Linked DNA regions of Arabidopsis thaliana. The protein of the gene in region 1 interacts with the protein of each later gene in a pairwise test. Each region holds a gene or a part of one and is shown on either strand. Other genes may lie near its edges.

What was found. Proteins that work in one complex are often made in the same cells at the same time.
Region 2: the proteins of AT5G25170 (region 1) and HAM3 interact in a two-hybrid assay, tested with the Arabidopsis thaliana proteins (one large-scale study listed by BioGRID).

The regions. Positions count from the first base shown.
Region 1 is NC_003076.8:8,691,430-8,695,595, reverse strand, and holds AT5G25170 (PPPDE putative thiol peptidase family protein), read right to left. Parts: upstream 2,585-4,166; 5' UTR 2,340-2,584; coding exon 2,198-2,339; exon of another isoform or gene 1,768-2,197; coding exon of another isoform or gene 1,758-1,767; coding exon 1,470-1,757; intron 1,385-1,469; coding exon 1,158-1,384; 3' UTR 967-1,157; downstream 1-966. Other genes in the region: CYP71B14 (cytochrome P450, family 71, subfamily B, polypeptide 14), read left to right, coding at 1-250, 352-966.
Region 2 is NC_003075.7:56,611-61,457, reverse strand, and holds HAM3 (GRAS family transcription factor), read left to right. Parts: upstream 1-1,962; 5' UTR 1,963-2,352; coding exon 2,353-4,029; 3' UTR 4,030-4,318; downstream 4,319-4,847. UniProt on the Arabidopsis thaliana protein: Probable transcription factor involved in plant development.

The DNA.
Region 1 (4,166 bases):
GGGGCGTTTCGCAGCAGCGGATTACTTCCCGATTATTGGTAGAATCATCGATAGGATCACGGGGTTACATAGCAAATGTGAGAAGGTTTTTAAGGAAATGGATTCGTTTTTTGATCAATCTATAAAGCATCACCTAGAAGATACTAATATCAAAGACGATATCATTGGTTTGCTACTAAAGATGGAAAAGGGAGAGACAGGACTTGGAGAGTTTCAACTTACACGAAACCACACTAAAGGAATTCTTCTAGTAAGTAATGGGAACCTCTTACTTAGTTAATCCATATATAATTTTATTCTTTACGTGTTGCATAGTGATTAACTTTTGTGAATCCATATATTATTTTGCAGAACGTTCTTATCGCTGGAGTGGACACTTCTGGCCACACTGTGACATGGGTGATGACACATTTGATTAAAAACCCAAGAGTTATGAAGAAAGCGCAAGCCGAGGTAAGAGAAGTGATCAAAAACAAAGATGATATCACAGAAGAAGATATAGAACGACTCGAATATTTGAAAATGGTGATTAAAGAAACATTAAGGATCAACCCACTTGTGCCACTTCTGATTCCAAGAGAGGCTTCAAAATATATAAAGATTGGAGGTTACGACATTCCAAAGAAAACATGGATTTATGTCAACATATGGGCTGTTCAAAGGAATCCAAATGTTTGGAAAGATCCAGAAGTTTTCATCCCAGAGAGGTTTATGCATAGCGAGATTGACTATAAAGGTGTAGACTTTGAGTTGCTGCCGTTTGGTAGCGGAAGGAGAATGTGCCCTGGTATGGGATTAGGTATGGCATTGGTACACTTGACTCTTATCAATCTTCTTTACCGTTTCGACTGGAAGCTTCCGGAAGGAATGAACATAGAAGATGTTGATCTTGAAGAATCATATGGACTTGTTTGTCCCAAGAAAGTTCCACTTCAACTTATCCCAGTCCTTACCCAATGGACTTGACTTCACTTTCACTTTTTTTTTTCTTTTTGAACTTCACTTCACTTGATAATTTCATAGTTCAAAATATGTAATGTGAAAATCTTATACCATTACTATCAAGAAAATGTTTGTTCAATCCATATCTTGTAGCTTAAACATTACTACCGAATCAAATTGCGAAACAAAAAGGTATAATTTTACTAGGACTAGAGCTAAACACTCACAGTTGGTGATGGAGGAAGACATTGTCTTCTCCTTTCTCCTCTTCTGCTTCGGTTTAAAGAACCCGACGAAGAAAGCGAAGGACCAGGTGGAAACCTACTTGATCTACTCCGAAGTTTCTTCTTCTCTACTTCCGGAATCTTCTCTTCCTTTGATCTCACCTGCCTCACCTTAGTCTCATTCAACTCCGCCGGCAGAACACAGTTGCAAAACAAACCTAAACCCAAAAAAACAAACCTAAACCTAATGAGCTTTTACTAAAACAGAGTAAAAATCAAATGTTCTGTTCTCTAACTTCTTACCAAAGCGAGCAAGACGGTTAACCCAACTAGGGATCGATCTTCGAGTCAGTTGCACACAAACATCATTGCAAAAGTGATTGCAATTCTTAGTAATCAAATGATAACTGTTTCCACTATATTCTTCCGCAAGTTTCTCCATAAAGACACGAACGTTTTCAGGATCTAAATCAGTTCTTCCAATCAATATAGACTTCCTAAATGTGAAACCCGGACATTGCTTCGGTTCCACCTCGAATATCCCGGTAGTCGAATGATCGTGAGCTCCAAAACCATATTCAACTCCATGAACTAAAACCATAACATTGTATTAGGAAGCAAACATTAAGACAACAACTTAGATCTCAATATATAAACATACTTTCATTTTTGGACAGACATATCTAATAATAAGATATTATACAACTCACTTTAATAGTCACATAAAACCAAGTTCTGATTATTATTACTCAATAGAAAATCAGAAGAGTTGATCCAAAAATGGGTCAAAAAAAGTTTCCAGTTTTGGAATCTATTGAAAAATGAAACCAGTCTATTTCAATTTCTACAAACAAACAAAACAAAACCAACAAACATCAAACTTAAAAAGTCTCTTACTTTAACTAAACAATCTAAAACAGAATCAAATCTCTTCCTCTCAAAGATGAGAAATTTTCAATCTACAATTCAAAAGTTTTAAGCTTTAACCAAAACCCACAAATAATTTCCAAGAAAAAGAGAGAAGGAGTTACCTTCAACACCAGAGTGATAGATCCCAAGTCCTAACCAGTAAGCGTAGCCATTGATGGGTGTGAGATCGTATACATTCAGATAAACCGGAACCGAACCGGGTTTCTTTTTCCGGCCAGTCACCACCACCATTCTACACAACATCTTTTCTTTAAGAGAAGAAAGAGAGGAGCTTGGAATCTTATTCTTCTGTCAATCTGAGAGAGAAGCTTCTGATGATGTTTCCTTCTTTCTTAAAAGCTACATTCTTTTTTTTTTTTTCTGCTTTCTGTCATTCTTCTCTCATTTTGTTTAGGGTATAAATTGTTGTTTAGTCCTTATAATTTATTATTTTCACGTTTTGGCCCTATATTATTAATTGAAGCTTTTGACGTCAATCGACGCCAACGAGGACTTGTGAGTTCTGAAGTGTGTACTTTGTCTTTTTCTAGGAATCAATTTTGACACCTTAATAGTTTGTAGCAAAGTGCATAATTGAACATTCCAACAACAACAAAAATGAACATAATATTTTTAACAGCGAGAGAAATTTTAATTAATTATATACCGTGTTTTAAAATTAGTCGCCTAGATGATTAAAATTATATTGACGTTTTAATATTAGCCAAATCAATTTTAGCTTACATGTATATTACTCTAAGATATCCAGATAAACGGAATAGGTGCATAAGTAATAGTTTATTTTATTTTATTTTATTCTAATATAAAAAGTTAAAAATGTACAAATGATATACTAAGATAGAAATTTAACATGCTATTTTAAAAGTTATGATTAATCAATTATATATATAAAGCCTATGCTCTTTGATTAATTGGTTACAGACTAATTTTCATCAGAACGTTACCTAACAATTTTGTAAGTTTTAAAATTGATAATACAATGTCATATGTGTTAAGAATAGTGTTCTTATTTTTGTATTATTCTCTATATTTTCATCATAGTTATAATTCTTGTGAAGAAACATCTACAATAACTAGTATGGGAACAATTTGGATGTATAGTTATGTTAGATAAACCGGTTCAACGTGGATGTTGGTGGTAGACTTTGTAAAAATTGAAGAAGATTAAGGTAAAATAGGTAAATTAAATTAAATAAATAGAAATCGACAAAGCCACGAGCCATGTCTCAGGAGTTGTGTCTTTGTGTACGTTCTAAGCAAAACGATGACTAGCTGTTAGGGCGTGAAGTTGGCAACATAATTACGTTTTTTTTAATCTTTGACCAAACAAACAACAAAAAGAAATTACGCTGACTTACTTGAAATTTATAGACTGATTCTCTGTTTTATGTGATTAATGTATATATATAGTACTTAGTTCAAACTTCATTTACTAATAGCAAAACATAATTCACGGATTCACAATTATCAAATATATTTATAATTGTTAGGTACGAACTTATCTTTCTATATGAGCTTGAGCTTACGATCTTTGTTCAGTATTTTTTTATCAAAAGTTATAAAGAAAAGGCATATAATTTCATGTAAAATAATTGACAAAATATTATCATTAACGGACTTGGCATAGGGGTTAACACACAAGATATTATAATGGACTCTTCACAAATGACTTCTTTTTTTCCCCAATAATAGTAACTCTTCACAAATGTTTTAGCCGTCTTTTAAAGATAGTTTAATATATTAGTGGAATGAACATTAGACTCAGAAAGCCTATTAAATTAGTACTTGATCATTCTTCTAAACATTTGTATCTGTTTTCTTTTTTTCCCACTGAATTCTAAAGATAAGCTATACCATATATTAGAAAGCTAATATAACATTAAATAAGATATTAGCTTCTTTATTTAGTCGATAGATTAATTTTGAAATTTTGAAAAGCTGGATTTTAATAGGTCAAAAAAAAAAAAAAACTATGTCTATTTAATGACTTAGACAATTCATTAGCCATGGCCATTTGTGGAACGACTTTGGAGACCAACAAGTTGTGTACGTAATAATTATATTCAAATT
Region 2 (4,847 bases), on another chromosome or scaffold:
GTCGAATCATAGTAATGTGTTGTCAATGATCAAATGAGAGTTAGATTATGTTTAAGGAAATGTATATGATTAAAGAAATAAGGAAATTCCTTTACCAACTTTATATTGTGGTAATTGTTAATTACTTCCCGCCGATCTTGGTTTTTTTTTTTTAATCATAATTATTATTACTTTGGCTCTAATGAGATGAAGAAATCTTCTCTATTTTTCTTTATCCTTATCAGTCCCATGTGATCTCCTAATAATAATTGATCAATTTTTGTCTAATCTAACTAATCATCATCCTAAAATCTAATACAAAATGAACGACGCAATCATTTATATATGGTTACATGCATACAAACTCTAACACGTTATCCTTCAATATAAATTATTGTTTGACAAGATTAATATATTTAGCTGACTTGTTTCTTCCTCTAATTATGGCAAAGCACGATTCTGTTCATCATACGAACTATCCGATTGAGTGGGGTTGGGTGTGTTGCTTGTGATGAAGGGTGCCTTGAGACGAGAGAAAAGAACATGTTTTCACCACGTAACTTACTTCACCCTCACGAAGTTAACACACACATATATTTAGTATTCCAATATACCAAATATTATATTAATATATCATGAAACTTGAAAATGTGTTGGTGTATTATGTATGTCAATAAGAAATAATATTAATACAGTTTCGCGATCATTTCAAGATTTATAATAATTTTGTATAAGAAAGAAAAGTGTGAGAAGTAGTTGTTAGCAAATCACATGGGAACATATAAACTAATTAAATCTTAAAAATGAACATTTTAACTTTTTGTTGTTATATAAAGTAAGTTAACTATCAATAATCATCAAATATTTATGGTACTTAACAAGTATTATAATATGGGACTAAAAATTACTATACAAGAAACTGAACTCTGTGTTTTTTTGTGCGGTCATAATTCGCATATAAAAGATAGATTCAGAATCTGATATTGTTTATACTTTTTTTTTTTTCTTTGATATTGTTTATACTAATGAATTGGTTTGCATAGAAAAGTAAATGCTTTTTCATTATCATGAATACATGATAATGAAACTGTCGCCATTCATTGCAAAATTGGTCCGATTTTAATCTGTCTTCATCAATTACCCACCTCTCTTTCTTGTTGTTTTTTCTGATTGCTTTATTCATTTATTTATTATAGGGTTTTCCATTGGTAGATATATTTATATATGTATATATATGGTGATTGGTGACTTCCATTGTCTGCTCAATAAAGGACTACCACTCGTTCTTTCTCAATCTCTCGTGCATTTAACTTGTCACAGAAGAAACATCATTCACAGATCTTCAATCACTTTTTTCCTTCAAACGAAAAGATGTACCAAAGAAAGTATGTTTTTATATACACGTAAATATATATATAACTCCTTCTTTGTTATAAGTAGTACATGAATGTTTCAGATAATGACGATCATTCGTATCTCGTTAAGTTAAAACAAGAAAAACAAAACAGATATTTTTGATGTAACTCCAATATATACATAGTTTTTGTTTCCACTTTGTTTAGATTTATAAATTTAGATTATGTCCGTAGCAAAAAAAAAAAAAAAAAGGAAACACAAATTAATATAAGCACTGCAATATGTGGTTTAGCTCGTACAATGGATTGGGTGATTTGAGTGGTTAATTTGATAAAGATGATCCAAAAGCTTGTCCAAACCCTAAAACAAACTATTGGGGACAAAGATCACACAAAAGGAAATAACGACAGCACCTTTGAGATAAAACAAAACAAAACAATATCCCAAATATAGTTTGCAAGCCACAAAGTTTTAATCATGAAAATAAATTATAAGAAAACAAAAACATTCCCAATATATTATGACATCCTTTTTTTTTTTTGGGCAAGTATTATGACATCTAAATATACAGTACAACATCAAAAATATGGGGAAAATGTTTTTTTTTTTTAATAGTTTCTAGTAATTCAAGAAGACAAATACAATATTTAAAAATATATCATAACATTTAGTATTTTTGTTTACCATCATGTTCATGTCACTGAAAGGAGTTTGCAAGCCACGCGCGTGATGTAAGAGTGGGGTTGTAATAGAAGACATAGTTAAGATTAGAAAGCAAAGATTAACAAAATGTTGTGTAAGAGAAGCTGATGAATTGTTTAATCAGCTAAGTTAATGACAAAGGCAAAATGATAGGAAACGGAAATAAGAGAGAAAAAGAAAGGAGGAAGCCCACTTTGCCACTTTAATATCTTGCACGCATCCAATATACCTCACCACACCACATCACAACAACGAAGAAGAAGAAGAAGAAGAAGAGCTTCAAGAAGACAAATACACTATTTTTTATCGTCTGCAATGCCCTTACCCTTTGAAGAGTTTCAAGGGAAGGGGATTTCTTGTTTCTCTTCTTTCTCGTCTTCCTTCCCCCAACCACCGTCGTCTCCGCTTTTGAGCCACCGCAAAGCAAGAGGCGGCGAAGAAGAAGAGGAAGAAGTTCCCGCGGCGGAGCCTACCTCTGTTCTGGACTCCCTCATAAGCCCAACCTCTTCCTCCACGGTGTCTTCCTCTCACGGCGGAAACAGCGCCGTCGGAGGCGGCGGCGACGCCACCACCGATGAGCAATGCGGAGCCATTGGGTTGGGTGATTGGGAGGAGCAAGTTCCTCATGACCACGAACAGAGCATTCTCGGACTCATCATGGGAGATTCCACAGATCCCTCTCTTGAACTCAACAGCATTCTCCAAACATCTCCCACCTTCCACGACTCTGACTACTCATCACCCGGTTTCGGAGTCGTCGACACCGGCTTCGGTTTAGACCACCACTCTGTTCCGCCGTCACATGTTTCCGGTCTTCTGATCAACCAAAGTCAAACCCACTACACACAGAATCCTGCGGCTATCTTCTACGGCCACCACCACCATACACCTCCGCCGGCAAAGCGGCTCAACCCTGGTCCCGTGGGGATAACAGAGCAGCTGGTTAAGGCAGCAGAGGTCATAGAGAGCGACACGTGTCTAGCTCAGGGGATATTGGCGCGGCTCAATCAACAGCTCTCTTCTCCCGTCGGGAAGCCATTAGAAAGAGCAGCTTTTTACTTCAAAGAAGCTCTCAATAATCTCCTTCACAACGTCTCCCAAACCCTAAACCCTTATTCCCTCATCTTCAAGATCGCTGCTTACAAATCCTTCTCAGAGATCTCTCCCGTTCTTCAGTTCGCCAACTTTACCTCCAACCAAGCCCTCTTAGAGTCCTTCCATGGCTTCCACCGTCTCCACATCATCGACTTCGATATCGGCTACGGTGGCCAATGGGCTTCCCTCATGCAAGAGCTTGTTCTCCGCGACAACGCCGCTCCTCTCTCCCTCAAGATCACCGTTTTCGCTTCTCCGGCGAACCACGACCAGCTCGAACTTGGCTTCACTCAAGACAACCTCAAGCACTTCGCCTCTGAGATCAACATCTCCCTTGACATCCAAGTTTTGAGCTTAGACCTCCTCGGCTCCATCTCGTGGCCTAACTCGTCGGAGAAAGAAGCTGTCGCCGTTAACATCTCCGCCGCGTCCTTCTCGCACCTCCCTTTGGTCCTCCGTTTCGTGAAGCATCTATCTCCGACGATCATCGTCTGCTCCGACAGAGGATGCGAGAGGACGGATCTGCCCTTCTCTCAACAGCTCGCCCACTCGCTGCACTCACACACCGCTCTCTTCGAATCCCTCGACGCCGTCAACGCCAACCTCGACGCAATGCAGAAGATCGAGAGGTTTCTTATACAGCCGGAGATAGAGAAGCTGGTGTTGGATCGTAGCCGTCCGATAGAAAGGCCGATGATGACGTGGCAAGCGATGTTTCTACAGATGGGTTTCTCACCGGTGACGCACAGTAACTTCACGGAGTCTCAAGCCGAGTGTTTAGTCCAACGGACGCCAGTGAGAGGCTTTCACGTCGAGAAGAAACATAACTCACTTCTCCTATGTTGGCAAAGGACAGAACTCGTCGGAGTTTCAGCATGGAGATGTCGCTCCTCCTGATTTCCACCGGAGTTTCAATTATTAAAAAAATATTTTCCTTAATTCAATTTATCTTAAATGACAAATTTTTAGTTTCTGATTTTATTTTGCTCAGTGCGATGGATTTTTAAATTTAAGTTTCACACAAATATATAAATTTTTGTGAGAAGTTAATTAATTGTCTGATTATCAAACACTTATTGTATAACACATTCAATATATATTAATTGTGGGGATTATTTTTGATCGACTAAATAACGTGATAGAATAATGCTTGGATTAGCTCAATACTATATTTTTCTAATTAAAAATGAATGGGGTGTTGATTTTGATGCGAGGCAGAAAGCTACTGCTCATTATTGTGATTATATGATTATATAATGGTTAGAGTTTGTTGTGGTTTGTGTCTTTGCGAGGGGTCTATTTTTAATTTATAAACATATGTCTCCATGATGTCACATGGGTCTTGTATTATTTTATTTATTTGGACCACAATACATTTTTGTGTGCGCCGTTTCTAACCTTTTTTTTTCTCCGACGAAACAAAGGTTTGCTTTTTCTCCTTTAAATGGTCCATACGCATTACATATATAATGCGCCCATTTGCTTTACGCATTAACTGCATTTCTCTATAGAAATATTTCAGAAACAAACCAAGTGTATACAATACATCAACATGTTTTTTTTGGGGTTTTAATGTGAAGATTTCATTTCAATAAAAAGATTACAAGCTAATCTAAGTAATACAAACCAACATATTTTGGTTTACTCTTTATATTAAAACATCATTTAGGATAATTATTTAAAATATATATTCAAACATCTAAGGTCCTAATTAA